3 linked regions of the Arabidopsis thaliana genome follow. The protein of the gene in region 1 interacts with the protein of each later gene in a pairwise test. Each region holds a gene or a part of one and is shown in the gene's direction. Other genes may lie near its edges.

Region 1 (6,380 bases):
TCAAGAATGGATATTCTTAAGATCCATGCAGCTGGTATCGCCAAACATGGTGAAATCGATTACGAGGCTATTGTCAAACTTGCAGAGGTTAGTTTTTCCTTACATTGCTGAGATAGTGAATGTTGCTTTTCATATGTAAGTTTCTCACCAAATGTTTCCTTGGTCCAAAAAAAGGGATTCAATGGTGCTGATCTGCGTAACATATGCACGGAAGCTGGAATGTTTGCAATCCGAGCAGAGCGGGATTATGTGATCCATGAAGATTTCATGAAGGTATGCATATATATTATGCATGAGAATAGGTTAAATCATGTTGTAATCTTGGTTGTGATATGGAAATGAACCAACTTTTTGCAGGCGGTGAGAAAGCTGAGTGAGGCCAAGAAACTGGAGTCCAGTTCGCACTATAACGCTGATTTTGGAAAAGAGTGAGAGAGTACACACTCTTTCTTGTGCTTTAGGGATGAAGAAAGGACATTGCAATGACTGTCTCGTATTCTTTATTAGCAATGTGAAACTTGTTTTTTTAACTCTTTCAAAAGCAAAGCTTGTTGTGAAGTGTGTGCTTAGTTACTACGTTTCAGTAATTTAGTGCTTCAAACAAGCATTTACCTCTTTTCTCGTTGGTACTGTGGCTTAAATATTGTTGCTTCTGGACCCTGATTAACATCAATTAGTCCAAATCAAAAGAATTGCAAACATCAACTGAACCAATTATTTCAGTCAAATAGTATGAAACAAACAAAAATTTCTTAAACATCTCTATAGTACACGTTAATATATTTTGTTCATTAAATCTTACTTGGATCAGTTCAAATAAAATCGGACTTTTACACTGGATACTTCTGTATTTAACAATATAAATATTCATAAGATTTGGTTAAGATTTAAAACTTTGAATCTCTTATCATTTTTGTTTGATTTTGTTTTAACTGTTTTAAACCATCATATAGTATATAAAGTTAAGAAAAAACTTTTTTTTCTACATATATTGTGATTCGAAATTTTGAAAACGGACATATATTAATTGATAAACGAAAAATATATGGATTTAAGCTAAAATGTTTAAATCTGATGACAAGAAAAAGAAAAAAAAAAGCTAACATGTTTAGGGGATGATTCAAAATCATATCATAAATAAGATCAACATTAATAAAATAATTTTTGAGTGGGACGTGTTTGACGGTATCTTACTTAATAACAATTGTAAACTATAAAATATAAATATTTTATAAATAAAAACAATTTGCAAACTTTTATATATACTAACTTTAGGAAAAAAAATTGTCTCACTCATGATGTACCTTTATTATAAAAACATAAAATTAATTAAGTAATGATATTTTCGATTTTTTTCTAGCGCAATAAGAATAGAATTACCGTAAAAAAATAAAAATAAGATTAGGATTAAATTAGCTAGGACAACTTTTTCAAAAAGAAAATTAACATGCCGAAATCATGAACGTCGTAAATCATCAAACAGCTAGGATTCGTTGTATCATACACTTAAAATGATTAGAGAGTTGATCTATTACTCTAGAGTTTACTTGCAATGATCTCAAACATAAAAATATTAAAACGTTTATTTGATTCCCTATGCAATGAAAAGTGAAGATCTTTATGATTAGCACGGAATTTTCCAAGCTTAACTTTTGACTTTTGTCTCCCTAATCATTCATTAATAACCACTTCATGTCTTTATAAAAAGCACCCCGTACGAAGTTCTTCACTCAAAGCTCCTCATACCATAGTATATTTTGAGCTTTCTAATCACATAGTAATAATTTTGAAAATGGCGATCCTAACTCCCGTCATTAAACTCGTTGTTTTTAGGCAAAGTCTACGACCACATTCTGCTATTGCATTCCTCGTTGAGTTTCTTTGCTTCGTCTTAGAATTACTCGACAAGGAGAAAGATCTAGCCAAAATATTCGGTATCGTATGTGCTTGCGACACATTAATCTTCACTTTGCTCGATCTTATCCAAAGTTTGATCGAGGAAGAAGTGAAAATACAAAGATGCGGCCGAGTGTTTTGGCTTTACACAAACGATGGGAGCCTCTATTGGCACACATTAAACGCATATCTTTTGATGTTATGCATTGTCCACGTCATCGGTTCCACGATCTCTTACGTTTCTCATAAACATTATCTAGTCTTGCTCCCGCTTTTCGCAGCCGGACTCGAACTCGTCCCACAAGAAGCCTATCGAGTTCTTGGACCGGATCAAGAGTCTGGAAATTCTATTGAGCCTCTTAATGGTCCATTAAATGGTATTGAGCTTGAACAAGGAATGGTTGTTCATGTTGAGCCTCTTCAAGAGCCACTAGATGGTATTGAGCTAGAGCAAGAACTCGTCCCACAAGAAACCAATCGGGTTCTTGGACCGGACCAAGAGTCACAAAACTGTATCGGGGCTCTTAATGACCCATCAGATGGAAAAGACCAAAACCTTCAAGATGATATTGTGCTAGATCAAGAGTCACAAGATTGTATTATTGCACCTCATCAATGTCCATTAGATGGTATTGACCTACAACAAGAAACGGTAGTTCACGTTGAGCCTCTTCAAGACCCACTAGATGGTATTGAGCTAGAGCAAGAAGTGGCTATTCATGTTGGGCCAAATGATGACCCATAAACTATTAGAAGCCTACTATAGAATGAAAGCTGAAACATTATATAGATGGAGACGTATGTTTAATGTAATGTACTTTGTCTTAAAAACTTATGTACTTATGATCGTACGACTTTGGTAGCTACAATGTAAGAGAATCTTTGTTACAAAAAAAAATCTATAAATAAAATCGACTCTTCAATGTCCCGTGGAGTCAGTGAAGGATAAACGACACGTGTGAACACGAAGGAAGATTAATAGCCGTCCGATGAAAATGGTTAATTTTGTAATTTTGACTCTTTCACGTGTGCCCTTTCCTCACCCCGAAAAATATTTTTATTTCCTTTTGTTTACACTTTTTGATTTCATTTTCAATAATAATAATATTCGAGTAGAAGAAGAAAGATCCAGACAAAAGCTTAAGCAAGACCTCTCTGTCTTCGTCTCTCTCTCTCTCTCTCTTTGTCTCCGCCATGACAAGCTCTTCATCTCCTTCACGCAAGGTTCTTAGATTCTCTCACTCTTGTCTTCTTATGTGTTTTTTGATTCTCCGATTGTGATTTTTTGAATTTTTGAGATTTGTGTAGGCGTTAAGCAAGATCGCGTGTAATAGGTTACAAAAGGAGTTATCAGAGTGGCAAGTAAATCCACCGACTGGGTTTAAGCACAGAGTTACTGATAATCTTCAAAAGTAATTTTCATTTCAAAATCTTTCCTTTTTTTGATTATTTATCATTTCGATTTTTGATTGTTTTTTTTGTTTTTGTGTGATTTAAAGATGGGTAATTGAGGTAACAGGAGCACCTGGTACGCTTTACGCTAATGAAACTTATAATCTTCAGGTTGAGTTTCCTCAACATTATCCTATGGAAGCTCCTCAGGCAAGTTTTTCATTGTGTTGGTTTTGTTCTGAAAAATTTGTTGTTTTTGATTAAGGGTTTATTTCAAATTTCTTAATTGTGGATTAATTAACTGAAACCAGAGTGTTTTTATGGTTGTATTGCATGTTTTAGGTCAGAGAATTAGTTTGAGATATAGTGACATTTTCTCTACTTGGTTTTGTGCTGTGTTCTGATTTTCATGTGTTTGGTTTTTGATCAGGTGATTTTTGTTCCACCAGCACCGTTACATCCTCATATTTACAGCAATGGACATATTTGTTTAGGTAATTTTACTCATTGTTTCTACACTACTTACTCTTTGCATTTGCTCTTACTTTTTGGTTTCTCTGAAATGCTAGCTCAAGTCATGTGTGTGTCAATCAAATTAGTTTATCTGTTTGATACTTACATATATAGGTTGTTCTTGTTCACGGAATGTAATGTAGCGAAAAGAGAAGCAATGTTAGTAACAATACCCTTAAGAGTCCTAATATATTATATCAACATTGTTACCAGTCTTAACCTTTTTCTCAGTCTGTCTCATTCTTAAAGAGTTCCTAATACTAGCGTCGCATGACATGAAATTAGGTGTGAATGTGTTATCAACGCCATAAAGAAAACCAATACCGTCCCTTTTGGACTCTATGGTGAATTCTTTAGCAAAATCAGAATCTGATCCATGATTATAACAGCCTCTCAATTTCTAGTTATATTGAAACTCCCTTTGGAATGTTGATCAAATAACTTGAAACTCCCATTTGAGTTAAAATCAAATAACACATTTTAGTTTTGCTGTTTTCACTAAACAATAAGAACATGAAAGTTTTATGTAAATTTCTTAAATCTGTTCTCAATGCATCTAAATCCGGTCTAATGAAATCGTGGTGGAACTGAACCATTTGTTACAATACATAATCACGATTATACCCGGCCTCATTTTAGGAGAAAGTCCATTAGGATTATGCGCTTAATATAACACACTCTCTAATTCCTTTTTGTAGATATTCTGTATGACTCATGGTCTCCAGCAATGACAGTGAGTTCAGTCTGCATCAGCATCCTCTCAATGCTATCAAGTTCCCCCGAAAAGGTTTCTACATTTGATCTCTCACACTTTGTATTGTTGTCACAAATTCAAACTTTTTGACCCTGCCACACAACTCTTACTATGTCTTATTGTCGATGACAATATCAGCAACGCCCGACTGATAACGATCGATATGTGAAGAACTGCAAGAACGGGAGGTCTCCTAAAGAGACAAGGTGGTGGTTCCATGACGACAAGGTTTAATGATGACGACCGTAAGATGTCTCTCCTTTCAGTTACAAAAGAGGTTTATATAATTTCCCAAGACTGATAATACTAATTGAAATTCCTCATGGCCTCCCACTTTTTTTTCTGTAACGGATCATTATGTATAAATGACATCTGAAATGTTTCAGTGTCTGAATTAACACCTTGTGCTTTTGTCCTTTCTGAAGTGAAAAACCATGGAGAGTTTAGGCAAAACGAAATTGTATTTGGCAATGTAATTGGATTGATAACTAGTTGGTGTAATGTAATTGAAAATTGAAAAACTAACATAACAATAGAATCCCCAAAGAGTAAACATAACCATGAACGAACAATTAGCATAGCTGCGAGTAATCAAGTTTGCAACAACATTTATTCACCACCACACATAAGAGCACATTTAAGGTGAAAAGACTCGGGCGAACAAAGGATTTATTAAAACACCAAACATATTTTAGCAAAATAGGTAAGAGAGAAAAGCAAATCAAGCAGCAGCAACAACTGTCTTGTGCTTCTCGAGATTGGCAATGATTTCTTCTTTAGCAGCACCAACCACAGTCTCCTTGATCTCTCCTTCTTTCATGAAGATAAACGTTGGCATTGCCTGAACTTTAAACTCCTCAGCAACAGTCTGCACAACAACATAACAAGCAAGATAAAGGCTCAGAGAAGTCAAAAATCCCTAAGTTTGGATATTGGGATAGTGTAAGATTGATGAAGGAAACTCACGTTCAATTCGTCAACATCGACCTTGAAGAAGACTACGTCGAGGTGCTTCTTGGCTAAGTCAGCAAAGACGGGTGCAATGAAACGGCAAGGTGGGCACCATGTTGCAGTGAAGTCTATCACAATCTGTGTCATTTCCACACAACCATATTTAAGAAAACAAGCTACACCGATCGATAATTCAAACAATAGATACGACATCGGTTCATCATTAAGATAACAAATGTATGCATTTCATGTGCTTCACAGAACATGGATAATAATACAAACATAGATACAAAATGGGTTCACTAAAGACAATTTTCATGTGATCTCTAGCAGATGATTCATAAAATTGAATATGCATAGTTGAGAGATTCACATAACATGTTTTTATCCAATGATGCTTCTATCAAGTTCTTAGGGTTTCAATTTCTGAGATTCTGGGTTCCTAAACAATCAATTAAACTATTAGGGTTCATAAATTTGACATTAAGGAGCTCAAAAATTCGATTGGGGACAATTCAAACCTAATTCTGAATCCGTCATATTCTAATCAAAAGGACCAAGATCAGAAACGATAAAGCAGCGAAATCAATCAGAAAGAAACATTTAAAACCTTAGATCGAGAGTTTTTACCAGTTTCTTGGATTCGTTGGCGGCTTTGAGCTTCTCGGTCCAATCTTCAACGGTGTGGCAAGCGATAACTTCTCCTTCTGCGGCCATTTTCTCTTCTCTGTGTTTGATTTTTGATTTGATGAGTTTTCGAGTGATTATTCTTCTTCGTCTCTGTGTCGGTTCTTATAGAGAGAAGGAGGCGGAGAGAATCTTACATCTTTTTATTATATTTTAATGCAAATGGAATAATAATAATAATTAATAA
Region 2 (6,716 bases), on another chromosome or scaffold:
AAAACCCGTTCTGTAATTTTTTTACCCGTCCCGTAATTTTTTTTAAAATAGTAATTTTTAAAATTTAAGAATTATTTTTTATATATAAAAGTTTTGCAAATTGTATCATTTTCTAATACATTTATATTTTATAGTTTAATTTTATATATAATAACATTATACATACCACATAACATTTTTGGTTTTATATAACCTTTTCTAAATTAGGATGATTTGATATGTTTAATATTAGTGGTCTTAAAATATAATAAATTAAAGATTTAATCCGTATTGAAATTGTGGATTAATTATATTTTACTTTTTTATTAATGTTGATTCAAAAACCCGTCCATCCAAATCCGTCTTGCCAAAAAGCCATTTATTTTATTAATGATATGACTCTGAATTATAATCTAAATATTTTAGCTAATAACAAATGAGTGCACCATATTTATTTAATAGGAGACTGTACCATATGACCCGAATGCACTTTTATCCAAATCCACCAAAAAAATCTTGCAAAAATACTATAGAGATAAGAAACGATAGTCGGTTTTGATAGGTATAAGATTAGCAACTATATTAGTTAGCTTAAATTAGTTAAATAATACAAATTGAAAAGGTATATTACACTTTATTCGAATATAGTATCAAAACTTATATAACACAGAGATTTGATAATTTTTTAATTATTGAATACTTTTTTTTGTGCTAATTTTTATGTGATTAAGATTTAATTGATTTCGTATATAAAATATTAAATTGTTTTACGAACTTATTTGTTTATAATTTGGTAACAGATAGATATTTGAATATTCAGTATATTTTGCTTCAGTTTAGGAAATCTTTGATGACCCGTCTTTAGATCCAATAAGCCCTATAATCTAGTTATTAACCTGCAGTATACCGCAGGTAGGCTTATACTTTAGTTAAACTAAAAACTTTTATTGTAAAGATGATTTAAATATATATGATATTATTTTATTTGATTTTAAATGTATAGTAATCTGTGAGTTGTATATATTTTGTTGATATTATCTATATTGTTTAGTGTTTAAGATTATACACTTGTAGTTTGATTGTTAATTTAAGAGTTTCACATGTAGTATATCATCTTGTATTAATATCGATCTAAACCCGTCAATTCTAGGATTTTTCAGCTTGTATTAAAAATTGAATCACATCTAATATGTTATTAATTACTGTAGTATATAAGATTATAAATTTTCATTATAATATGTGTGAAATTGAATAGAAATATTTCAAATTATGATCCGTTACTCAGTAGAAAGTTTTCTTAAATCTATTTTTCTTCCGTTATAATATTTTTTCATGTATTGAATAGTTTATATTCGTTTTTAAAAATTCAAAATATGGCATATGCGAAAAAACTCTAATTATTTTTTTATAATGATGATATTATTTTTCGGCAAAAATAGAATCATATAAAGATGAGAAGTGAACTATAATAATTAATAAAAAATTAATATGATAATTTAGATATCAAATCTAATTTGTTGATTTTAATTGGTTACTTTTTTGGAAATTAATAATGTATTTCGTTTTTCTAATTAAATTAAATTAATTAAAATTTAGATATCAAATCTTATATGTTGATTTTGATTGGTTATTATTTTTGGAAAATAATAATATATTTCGTTTTTTAATTAAATTTAATTAATTAAATTAGTATTTGACTTTTTAATCCTTAAAGAGATAAATTAATTTACTCTTTAAAATTTTATTTCTAATGGCATACCTATGTAATTACTTATAAAAGTTAAGGTTACATTTAAAATGTACTTCCCAAATAATATAGTAGGATAAGTTGAACAAATTTTCTATATATATATATATTATTTTTTGTATTGTTTTTGGTTAAATGTGTTGAATGAGTTTTCCAACTTATTTATCTCAAATATTAAAAAATAATATGAATGGTTATTCAACTCTTTCGACTTCTTATTTTAAGACAAATATTTGTACTCTTGGCTTGATGGATCTCTTTCTAAAATTTGAAGTGTTTAATTAGTTAATGTTTTTATTTGTCAATTTTTATTTTGTTTTAAAATCATTTTTTACTATTGAAATACTTTTTGGTAAACTTCCTTTGTTAATTTTTTTTTTTTTTTTGTCATCTCCTTTGTTTATTGTTTATCTTGATAAATTACGTAGTTTTGATAAACAAACAAATCGTTTATCTTAATAAATTAGGTAGTTTTGATTCACTTTGTTTATGGTCAGTTTGTAAAGAAAAAGAAAACAAAACTCTAGTGACTAAGCAAAGTTCAGATTATTGTTGGGCCAAAATATTTAGGCCCATTTTAAGCTCTACCGTCATTTTAACTTTTTATGGTCCAAAAACGATTCGACTTTTTTCCTGATTCGTGTAGAGAAAAATAAAAAATTAAATATAAAAAATTAAGTACTTTGGGAAAAAGCGAAACGTATCTTACCATTTATACCCCTCCAATCAAAATTGATGGTTTCCCCGATTTGAGAAATCTTTTTCATCATCATCACTCTTCCTCCTTCCCCATTGCTTAGTGTTGGTTCCCAAGTCCCAACCTGCTTCAATTTAGGTCGCAAACGATCTCAATTATTCACAATCCAATCTTTTCTTCAATCGATCTTCGTTTCTGGTAAATCCTCCGCCATCGATTTCCCCGTTTCTCTCCTTATCTTAAGATTCTTGGATTCGTATTTGTTTGATTGTCAGATTTGTGAATTGTTGATCAACAAACTCGTTATCAGTATTCAGATTGAATTATCGTTGAATTGAGGATCAGTTGATAGAATCTTGAGTCGTTTGTTTCAAATCGGATTTGAATTGTGTGTTTGTAGATCAAGCTAATAATAAGCTAGGAAGAGAGTTTAGTGAAGTAGTGAAGATGCAGAATCAGATTGATATGGTGAAGGATGAAGCGGAAGTAGCTGCATCGATTTCAGCAATTAAGGGTGAAGAATGGGGAAATTGTTCATCAGTGGAAGATCAACCATCTTTTCAAGAAGAAGAAGCTGCTAAAGTTCCTTATGTTGGTGATAAGGTCAGAGCCAATATTAAAATTGATCTTCTGTTTCATATTATTCGTTTTTTGGCTTCTACGTGTTATCTTGCTCTGTTTATTTATCGAAAGAAGTTAAAAAGGTTGATTGTTTTGGTTCAATGATGTGCAGGAACCTCTGTCTAGTTTAGCTGCAGAGTATCAATCAGGGAGTCCCATTTTGCTGGAGAAGATTAAGGTTACTTTCTGCTCTGTTATCTTTTTCGTGGTTTGTTGCTTTCAGTCTTTTTGAATTATCATGTTTGCAATGCTTGTAGATACTGGACAGTCAATATATCGGAATCCGGCGAACAAGAGGAGATGGAAATTGCTTCTTCCGAAGTTTTATGTTCTCTTACCTTGTATGTTCTCAGAATGTCTTCTATTTTGCCTAGCTCTTGTTTGTGTAGTTGGTTTTGAACTTTGTTATTTTGGTTAGACGTGGATTGTATCTTTAGTTAAAGTTGCTGTTGTTTTCTCTGCTTTGTTTCGTAGGAGCATATATTGGAATCACAAGATCGTGCTGAAGTCGATCGTATCAAGGTCAATGTTGAGAAATGTAGAAAGACTCTGCAAAACTTAGGTTATACAGATTTTACATTTGAGGACTTCTTTGCGGTAAATCGACCACCTTTTTCTGTTTTCTATTGTGTCTGCTTTTTAAATCTGGTAAGATCACCACCAATACTCAATTTCATCTTTCTTGAAAATACAGTTGTTCCTTGAGCAACTAGATGACATTCTCCAAGGAACTGAAGAGTCTATAAGGTAGAGAACTGTTTATCCAGATGGCTTTTTAATTGGCATTTAATTTTGATTTCTGTTTTCGTGTGGATAAGTTCTGACTTTCATGAAATGGCACAAGTCTCTTCTCGTTGTATCTCATCCTTTTTGCAAATATCTTTCTCTTACAGCTACGATGAGCTGGTTAACAGAAGTAGAGATCAGTCAGTCTCAGATTACAGTAAGTTACTCTAATTTTCTCTGGCGATGCATATCCAATGGTACATAGTTTTGACAAATTTTTGTTGTCTCAGTTGTAATGTTCTTTAGGTTTGTTACTGCTGGTGATATACGAACGCGTGCCGATTTTTTCGAGCCTTTTATAACAGGCTTATCAAATGCAACAGTGGATCAGGTTTGTACACACGCTTACTCTGTTTTGGAATTCAGGCCATTTGGTGATATGTTTGAAATTTTATTTTTCCGTCTCTGTGATATCTCTGTCAATTTTAATGTCCTTCCAAACTTGCTTGCTTTATCTCTGATTAGTCAGCGTTGTGAGACGTTAAGTCTCTTGCACTTATGTTTAAACTAAAGATTCTGTTGAAAGTTCTGAATACCTCCTCATAGATTATTAGAGCATAGGTGAATGCAAGATATTAACACTACATTGTTATAGTTTTGCAAGTCCTCGGTCGAACCAATGGGGGAAGAGAGTGACCATATTCACATAACTGCTTTGTCGGACGCACTTGGTGTTGCAATCCGTGTTGTGTATCTTGACCGTAGCTCATGTGATAGTGGGGGCGTCACTGTGAATCATCATGACTTTGTTCCTGTGGGCATTACCAATGAGAAAGATGAAGAAGCTTCTGCTCCATTTATAACCTTGCTGTATCGTCCAGGCCATTACGATATCCTCTACCCCAAGCCATCTTGTAAGGTATATAAACACGAAATCGCCATATGACCTCTCTTCCTTTTAGATTCGACGTGGATTAAATTTAATGATTGTGTTGTTACAGGTATCAGACAATGTGGGGAAATGATCATTTGACATATCGTAAATCGCATTAGGAGACGTTTACAAAAAACTGTGGTAATATGGATTCATGTGGATGAAACCATGGAACAATCAACAATTACCCCATCGATTTGCATTTTGATTATGATAAAAGAACCCTTTTTGCAACACTATAGAATGGACCGTCTCTTTACTTTGATATTGCCTTGTATTTTTCATGAATCATGATAATATCCTTTATGATATTTCTGATGAGCAAGTGGAATCAAAGGGTTTTCGATATTACCAATGGCAGAGTTCTAAGTTTGTTTTAATGGCCTGACTAAAATCTTAAACTTGAATATTTTTTTAAAATATAGAAAAGTGACGACAAAGAAATGCAAACCCTTTGGACTATTATTTTTGAGTGTCGATTGGGTCGAGAACCCGTGGATTGGGCATAAATTACCCTACCATGAGACGAGTTAAGGCTACAAATGTTGATGCTAAAATAATGCGGGCTACACGAGTTGGCTCATGGTGGATAGTGGTTTTGAGCAGTCTAAATGGATTATATTAAGTCTTGTAAATATTTGGAACCCCCAAAAACGATGTAACAAGAAGAAACCAAAAGATAAGAGCATGCCCATTGATTGAATCCTTATAAAAAATCCTTAACATTTTTTAATAATATATTTTGGTAATTTTAAAGTTTAGAGTTTTTGTTGAGTCTCTAAATTTTTTGTTATCCAATGGTGGAGTCCTTATGAAAATTTCTTTAAAAAGCAAAAATATTTTTAAAATAATTTATTTGATAAAACTTAAAAGTTATTAGAAAATATTACAAATTGTAAACATATATGATGACATAAAAGCAAAAAAAAAGAAAAAAAGAATACAAATCAAAAGGCTTCCAAGAGGAAACTAAAGTCCGAGATGAGAGGTCTATTAATGAAATTGTCACCAAAGGAAGAACATAGAATAATCTATCTCCAGCTCAAGACACTGTCATGAACTTAAATGAAAGCACGTACCTAGAACCAATTATTTGATAACATCAACTAAATGAGCAAACAAAAGAGCATAAACATAAACCTAGAACCAATTATTTTGTGTCACCAATCCGTTGTAATGCTAATGAGAAGTGAATAAGCAGCAAAAGGGTCACATTTTTATCTTAAAAACCAACAGATCAAACACAAATTTGAACATAAACCAAAGCTCAGAAACTCTATACGAAACCAAGAGAGAGGAGAGAAAGAAAAAAGGAAAAAAACTTGTTTTGTTTTATTGGTCCTCCAATGATATAGTGCCACGTCAGCGAACCTTACTCACCCAAAAATACCTTATTCAAGGTTCGCACCTTGGTTAATTAGTCAATTTTGATTTATTTTTTTGCTTCTTTTCATTAGGATTCTCTTAAGAAACTTGTAAGGTCCCTGCAATGGACATGCTCTAAGTGTTAGTGTCAATCCGTATTTATTTTCCTTTTTGTCACAACCATCTAAAGACTATACTGTAGAGAATCAGAGGGCATAGTGTATGTATACGTCCTTTATTGTTTGTCACTTTCTTCTTTGGAAGCTTGTCACGTAACGAAGAGAATCCATGTATATCCAAATGAAATCAAAATCAAACTTGGCACTATAGTTCCTTTAACTGAACTATTCAAAGGGAACTTGAATCCAAGAAGACCGAAACTAGTAGTTATAAAAAGGGTCAAAGTCACACGCCATATGAAAGAAAGGTTGACATGAGATGCACTTAGATGGCTTAGAGGGCCGATTAATCATCTCTAACAAACACACTAAATTATTAACTATTTTTGTTATTTTTATTCATATGCATGCATGTTCTCTCTTCGATTTAACAATTCCCAACACTACTACCATACAAAAAAGACACATACACTTGTTACCGTTTCAATGTTACATTAAAAATTCAAAGCCTTTTTTTTCCTTTTGACC
Region 3 (6,433 bases), about 11 Mb from region 1:
AGAGCTGCAACACAGGTAGGCACAAGTTTTGGTTCTTTGTCACCATGACCAAGACGACTCTTGTCACCATCACCCCATGTAAAGAGCTTTCCTGAAGAGCAGTTACTAGAGCTCGAGCTCCCAACCATGACTTCTACAACTGCGGCTGTGTGCCATACACCACAGGCTGCCCGAACAGTGCGAAGACCTTTCAAGGAGTCTACCTCTCTAGGTATGAAAACACTTTTCCTGTCTCCATGGCCCAAAACACCAAAGGTCCCATCACCAAAAGTAAACAACTGCCCAGCGGAAGTCACAACAGCTGTGTGGTAAGGCCCACAAGCGATGGATGATACATGTATCCCTTCCATCAGAAAATTTACTCTTTTGGGGACCCAGTGACTGACTTCATTTCCATGTCCCAGAATACCAAAATCTCCTTTACCCCAGGTATACAAATCCCCCGATAGAGTAACTGCACAACTATGGTATTCACCACATGCTACAAGCTCAATATTTGTGGTATTGAGGGCATCAATGAGCTTTGGATGTTGAACATTGGAATCCACACCATGGCCAAGCCTACCTTCAGATTCCTCTCCCCAAGAAAAACTTTCTCCTTGTTTTGTTACAAGGACAGCATGTTGTCCACCGCAAGCAATATTCTGGACATCAAGTACTATAGTAGACTCTAAAGCTTTTGGCAGTAAGGAATCCATTTTGATCTCCAACGAACTTCCAACTCTGTGGTTTCCACCACCCAAAACACCTTCGCCTATTCCTTCTCCCCACATGAAAACGTCTCCCAATGTGTCTCCATCATCATGACCAGAACCATGGCTCGACGAACTAATCGCACTTGACAGACTAACTCTAAAAGCATCCATACCCATTCCTTTCATGTGACCATGTAGCGTATCTGAGCCTCCAGATGACAAAGAGTGAACTGACATAGTTGCCGAACCTGGGGGGAAAAAACCTTTTGGAGGAACTGCATACAACGACATGTCTGAAAATGCCTTGTCAACGCCATTCTTAGGCGGGCTCTCATATGGACTGTGAAGACGAAGGTGATTTGAGCCCTCCTGAAAGGTAAGAGAAATATTACCTTAGTTAAGTAATGCACAAAATGAATTGGAATATTTCATTCTAGTACCTTCTGGAAACTTTCATTGCTACTAAATGGAGAATGTAAAGGGGAGCTTCTCCGGGTATATGTTCTCGGACTATTAGCTTCGGATGGCGTTCCATCACTTCTCGATTCGGTCCTCCATTTCCGTTGATGACAACGGGATATCAAGGCTTTTAGACCACTAAACCACACTTCAGCCTCATCTTTATCCTTGCATATCTATGAAATGAAATTCTGACACCTAATTAATGAACTTTCAATAATAACAGGCATTTAAATGATGGAATAATGATTTCATAGAGGAAATTAGGAAAAGAATATACTATAAGAAAAAGCTCACCAAATCCAGTGACCTCTCGTCATATATTAGCGAGAACGATTGATATTCCTTCTCAGGACGTGGATATCTCTGAAAAATAGGCTGCAAGAGAAACACCATTGCAAGACTTGTCAGAATATCACACTAGATATGCAAGGTCCAAATATGCAACCTACGACTATGGAAACTGGCTCATGCAAATGATGCATGAAACATGCAAAGTCAAATCAAGATTGACCTGCCACGCTGAAGTGAAATGAAAAAAAATGATGAATCCAATCAAACATAGCATAAGCACGTAATCTTCATTTGAGTTTATGTTGATAAAACGACTCTAAGAAAAGAGCCTTGTGCATAACATACACCACTTGGAAAAATCATAAACAACAATTCAGATCACATTAGGAGGCCATCCTACTCACAATCATGACAGTAGAGCTCAGACACAACCAGAAGAAGATACTCTTATCAGATATCCAACCATATAAACGCATCGAAAAATGGATAATACTAGTCTAACGAACTTATTCTGAACATTTAATAGCCAGCTTAAGGAAAGATTAAATGACATGTCTACGGATGTCAAAACTTACAGTGCGCTGCCCAGAGATGATCCTGGAAACATGACTTAGCTTCAAATGTTTTTCCTCCTTCCCAGAAAACCATATCAAAACAGATTCATCCTGAAAGTTACAGGACAGACTATTTACTTGACACAGAACAACAAGAAGCTGCACACAGCAGGAAGCAGCAGAGAGAAAATATAACGAAACAAAAGGACTCTACAGACTCTTACATAAGAGTAAAAGAAAATGATATCAACACAACTTACATTCGAAAGGCGAAATGGACAGAACTTAGGCTTTCCCCTTCTGCCATACTTAAGCAAATAAGCTCCTTTTTTAAGAGCAGTGATAGCCTGAGCCAATTGATAAAAAAAAATAGTTTCCGTAAATAAAGCAGGTGAAGTATATTGGCAAGGGGTGATTTCAGCTTTAGATACAGCTATATAATAAAACTGAAATGGTCTTAAATAGAGATGAGCAATAACTATATCCTGAGAAATTGCACCTAAAATAGATTAACTGCTAGGAAAAAAACATGAAGTGCATTTTTGTTCTCCAATATATAGCTAGAGTCAAGCTTGGAGACTCCAAAAGTGGAATAGAGCTCAATCTTTAGCTAAAACCAGTCACACTAACCAAGAATCCCAAATCTAATTTTCAAAGTTTAAGCCACGCCTAAGAAAATAACCTTCTCTTAACCTTCCTAACAAAGGATTTGTTCCACAGAAAACCTAACAATTCAGTAGAATTGGAATCATAAACAAGACCAAAAAAAACCTGCTCAATATCCCTCGTCACTGGACCGGCTCTACTAAGATCCGACGGCGTCATTCGTCCGTTCCTCGACATAAACAAAATTCCTCAGTAGCAAACCCCTTGAGCCGAGAAAACCTCAAAAAAAATTCACACTAGTCGTCAAGCTCAAATCAATAGACCTCGTGCAATCACGAAATCCACTCCACATCACATCACTTTGATCGTCGATCTTGGATTCAAATTCGAAGCCAGAGCAGCTTCTTCAGCTCCAATTTAGATTCAAATCGATCCAAACAGTAGAACAAAAAGCGCCGTTTCAATCAAATGTAAAAGGATTCAAATATGTTCTTCTGGATGCTGAATTAAACTCTTCGAGAGGAATTGAAACACAGAGAATCTAGCTAGAGAGACATGGCATGATCTATACTACGCAGCTTAAAGCGAGCGAGCGAGAGAGAAGAAAGAGACCAAAAGGCAGATTCTGACTAGAGAAAGCTATACTTCTTCTTTTTTTCTGCTTTCTATTGATTTTTTAGATATATAAAACCCGTCATTATTCTCCTTAATTACGGGATATACCACTGTACACTCCCAATTAATTTACTCTCCTTAAACATTTTGTATTTCTGTGACTAGTAATGTGGAAGGCTTTTTGCGAATATCTGTTTTTTCAGCAAGCTTTTTTCGAATATTACTTTCGTGTATACATTTGCTCTTTTTTTTTTTTGGTTTAAATTTTTCTAATGATGGGACTTTAAAGAATTTAAATACCTACCACCTAATTAAAGAAGAATGATTCAATAGAAGATGTCATGCAAATTAAATACCACACATAATTATGTTATTTGTAATGGATACTCTATGACTATGATGTAATGTATTTTCTTCAAAAGTTATAAATCTTGACATTTTAAAAATTGCTTTATGATCTGTAACATGTCGTTTTGAGTGTACTGATCTGTCGCAATTCTATAGGACAGGTTAGAACTTCTGGTGGAGGAAGAAGGTTCGGGTTCTGTTTTGTCTCTTGTGTGCTTTGTTGTTAGTTCTTGAGGTATCGGGAATCATTCTCTTAGCATATCTCCTTTTCTCGTCTCGGTGGTTCGCTGTCCCACAGCCACTCTCTCTAATCCGGGCTCCTTAATCTTGACGAACAGATTTCAGAAGAACATCTTCTTTCTTCAACTACCAAATCTTTCGTTTTTTCTATCTAATTTCGCCGCCATGAGTTCCGTTACCGAGATCGTGTCTGAGCAGCAAGTGATCGACGGTATTCAGGATTTGGCCCTTCAAAATCAGGTTCTTTGTTACCCTTATTCAATTCATATTCTCGTCTCTTGATGAAAATTTTCAAATTTTAAATATGTTTGCTTTGTGTGTCGGTCTTGTTTCGGAGTTGGAGCTGATTCTGTCCATGATGCTTCTGCTTCTATGTGGAAATGTATCTAGCCTTGCTCCACAATATTAGGGTTTCGTAAATTTTTGATTTTGTGCGTTATTATGTGTTTAATTTCGAATTGGACGATTAGGGCTCTTCAGGTTTACAATGTGAAGTTGACTGTTGCTGAATTTGCTACTGATATTGTTTATGAATCTGCTTTCTTTTTCTCTTCATAACTTTCACAGAACTTAGGTCTCTTGTTCTTACATCTAAACATAACTCTTTAAGATGATGTTGTGTGTTCTCTGCATGTGGAGGTGATTTAAGAGATTTTATCTGAACCTCTCTCTCAGGACAAAAAGAAGATCCAGGAAGAGATCCATGAGCCGAGTTTCGGGAATCATGGTGGCTGTTGTGCAATATGTTTGAGTGAAATTCCTCTTCAAGAAACTGCTATGGTCAAAGGCTGTGAACACACTTACTGGTAATACTGTTGTTTCTTCTCTTTGTTTCTTTTAGATGATATATATCTGATTTGGTTACATCTATATTTTATTAGTTACAAAGTTTAGTCTGTACTGTAGTATGAACATATTGATTTCGTCAAATGAATTTTGTTTTCTTCTCACAAGTTTTCAGTTGTGGAACTTGGTTTTAGGTTTAACCTGTAAACTCGTGATCACCTTTTATCTTCTGTGTTTGCTTTTATGCCTACGTGGTAACTGACTTTCTTTCTACTTTGGGTTTTAAGAGGAGTAATTCATTTCTATCTATTTAGTGTGACATGCATACTTCGTTGGGCGAGTTGCAAAGAGAGTCCCACATGCCCACAATGTAAGCATCCATTTGATTTTCTCAGTGTCCACCGAGCACTTGATGGCAGGTGACTTCCCTTCTTTATTTACAATTTTGTGTATATATTAGTCGATTACTCCATTTGCTTGATCAAACTCTTTTTCTTATTCTTGTTTGGTTGTATAAATTCTCTTTTGTATTTCTATGCAGCATTGAAGATTTTCTGTTTGAGGAGAGTGTGTGCCTTCTCCTTAGAGCCTCATGGTTTGTACCATTGGATGTGGTGGAACAGGCGTCGTACAGCCATGGTTACCATGATGATTTTGACATTCCTTATGACTACGAGGATGAAGATGATGACCTTGACGAGTTTTATCTGCACGGCTCAAGTCTTCGCATAGGAAATCGGAGATGGGGTGGCAATGGTTTTGTCAGATCCGGGCGTCAAGAAGCCAGGCCTGTCCAGAGATACAGTGGTTCTGGTTCTAGTTCCAGTTCCAGCTCTGGGTCATCCTCAAGTGAGCCTAAGGATAAGCAGGTGAAGACGACAAACACAACAGGAAGACGTGCAAAAAGGGCAATGAAGCGTGAAGCTGCAAACAAAGCAGCGGAAGTAACTGCAGCAGCAAAGCACGAGGCCCATTTGGTTAGGTTGGGAAGGAAGTGAGTGTGTATCTGTAAATAAATTGCACTCAAAAAGCTTCCACCTACTTCCATTACTTAGTATCATCTGTACAGCAAGTAGTTTTTAATGTTGTGATTAATCCCTGTCAGACCACTATATAATGGTGTGGGGTTTGGAATGGTAGAAACAAGAAGTTGTGACTCATTGTCTCATACAATACTTGGACAACCATTGGCTATCATATTACTCTGTTCATTAAATCTTGTTATGTTTCTAATCATTGATCAGATGAGAAAGTAGTGTAGCTTTTGATTTTCTTGGTGTGAATACTGAATATGTAAAAATATGTCTAGATGAAGAAGAAAGACAACTTCTTTTTATGGATTCGTTGTCTGAGTTGGTCGGTGAGCTTTGGATACTAAGTTTGCCCAACTTTATGGCACAACAAGGGGTAGATCCAATGCAAGTTACAAAAATACGAAACCTATAGTATTCATATTTGCCAAAATCAAAGTCTTTTTATACATTCTTTTTTCATGATAGCATATGGTATAAATTCTATTTAAAAAATGTTGTTGTAAAACAATTTCTAAATTTTGCTTTATTGTTGTAAAATTTTCGGCCAAACTACGCAAATATTATATTAGAGGATTTTGGATATATGATTTTATCTTTTGAAGTATTATAATGTTCTTTTCTGTTTTAAAATGAATTGACTATTGAGTTTGAAGTGAAATTGGAATTGACTACTCAACAACGTGTGTCTCTTTTCCACCTAACCATTGTGCAAACCACGCAAAAGGAAAAATATCAAAAAAGTCTTTAAAGAGGGCAAAGAAATCACCCAAATATACGCATTCGTCATTTGGTCCCTCCACTT

What was found.
Region 2: the proteins of UBC18 (region 1) and AT1G28120 interact in a two-hybrid assay, tested with the Arabidopsis thaliana proteins (one large-scale study listed by BioGRID).
Region 3: the proteins of UBC18 (region 1) and AT5G19430 interact in a two-hybrid assay, tested with the Arabidopsis thaliana proteins (one large-scale study listed by BioGRID).

Annotation. Positions count from the first base shown.
Region 1 is NC_003076.8:17,242,615-17,248,994, reverse strand, and holds UBC18 (ubiquitin-conjugating enzyme 18), read left to right. Parts: upstream 1-3,006; 5' UTR 3,007-3,090; coding exon 3,091-3,120; intron 3,121-3,204; coding exon 3,205-3,308; intron 3,309-3,395; coding exon 3,396-3,498; intron 3,499-3,718; coding exon 3,719-3,782; intron 3,783-4,499; coding exon 4,500-4,588; intron 4,589-4,693; coding exon 4,694-4,789; 3' UTR 4,790-5,008; downstream 5,009-6,380. Other genes in the region: RPT4A (regulatory particle triple-A ATPase 4A), read left to right, coding at 1-87, 175-273, 358-432; AT5G43000 (uncharacterized protein), read left to right, coding at 1,793-2,641; TRX3 (thioredoxin 3), read right to left, coding at 5,277-5,423, 5,522-5,644, 6,137-6,223. UniProt on the Arabidopsis thaliana protein: Accepts the ubiquitin from the E1 complex and catalyzes its covalent attachment to other proteins.
Region 2 is NC_003070.9:9,811,298-9,818,013, reverse strand, and holds AT1G28120 (ubiquitin thioesterase otubain-like protein), read left to right. Parts: upstream 1-2,453; 5' UTR 2,454-2,621; intron 2,622-2,823; 5' UTR 2,824-2,870; coding exon 2,871-3,026; intron 3,027-3,156; coding exon 3,157-3,222; intron 3,223-3,301; coding exon 3,302-3,385; intron 3,386-3,518; coding exon 3,519-3,641; intron 3,642-3,738; coding exon 3,739-3,791; intron 3,792-3,937; coding exon 3,938-3,987; intron 3,988-4,060; coding exon 4,061-4,161; intron 4,162-4,425; coding exon 4,426-4,689; intron 4,690-4,771; coding exon 4,772-4,795; 3' UTR 4,796-5,084; downstream 5,085-6,716. UniProt on the Arabidopsis thaliana protein: Hydrolase that can remove conjugated ubiquitin from proteins in vitro and may therefore play an important regulatory role at the level of protein turnover by preventing degradation.
Region 3 is NC_003076.8:6,550,022-6,556,454, forward strand, and holds AT5G19430 (RING/U-box superfamily protein), read left to right. Parts: upstream 1-3,681; 5' UTR 3,682-3,976; coding exon of another isoform or gene 3,977-4,051; 5' UTR 4,052-4,115; coding exon 4,116-4,193; coding exon of another isoform or gene 4,194-4,221; exon of another isoform or gene 4,222-4,486; coding exon 4,487-4,617; intron 4,618-4,911; coding exon 4,912-5,016; intron 5,017-5,138; coding exon 5,139-5,595; 3' UTR 5,596-5,933; downstream 5,934-6,433. Other genes in the region: AT5G19420 (Regulator of chromosome condensation (RCC1) family with FYVE zinc finger domain-containing protein), read right to left, coding at 1-1,064, 1,136-1,330, 1,452-1,532, 2,024-2,113, 2,263-2,349, 2,532-2,612, 2,774-2,837, 2,932-2,960.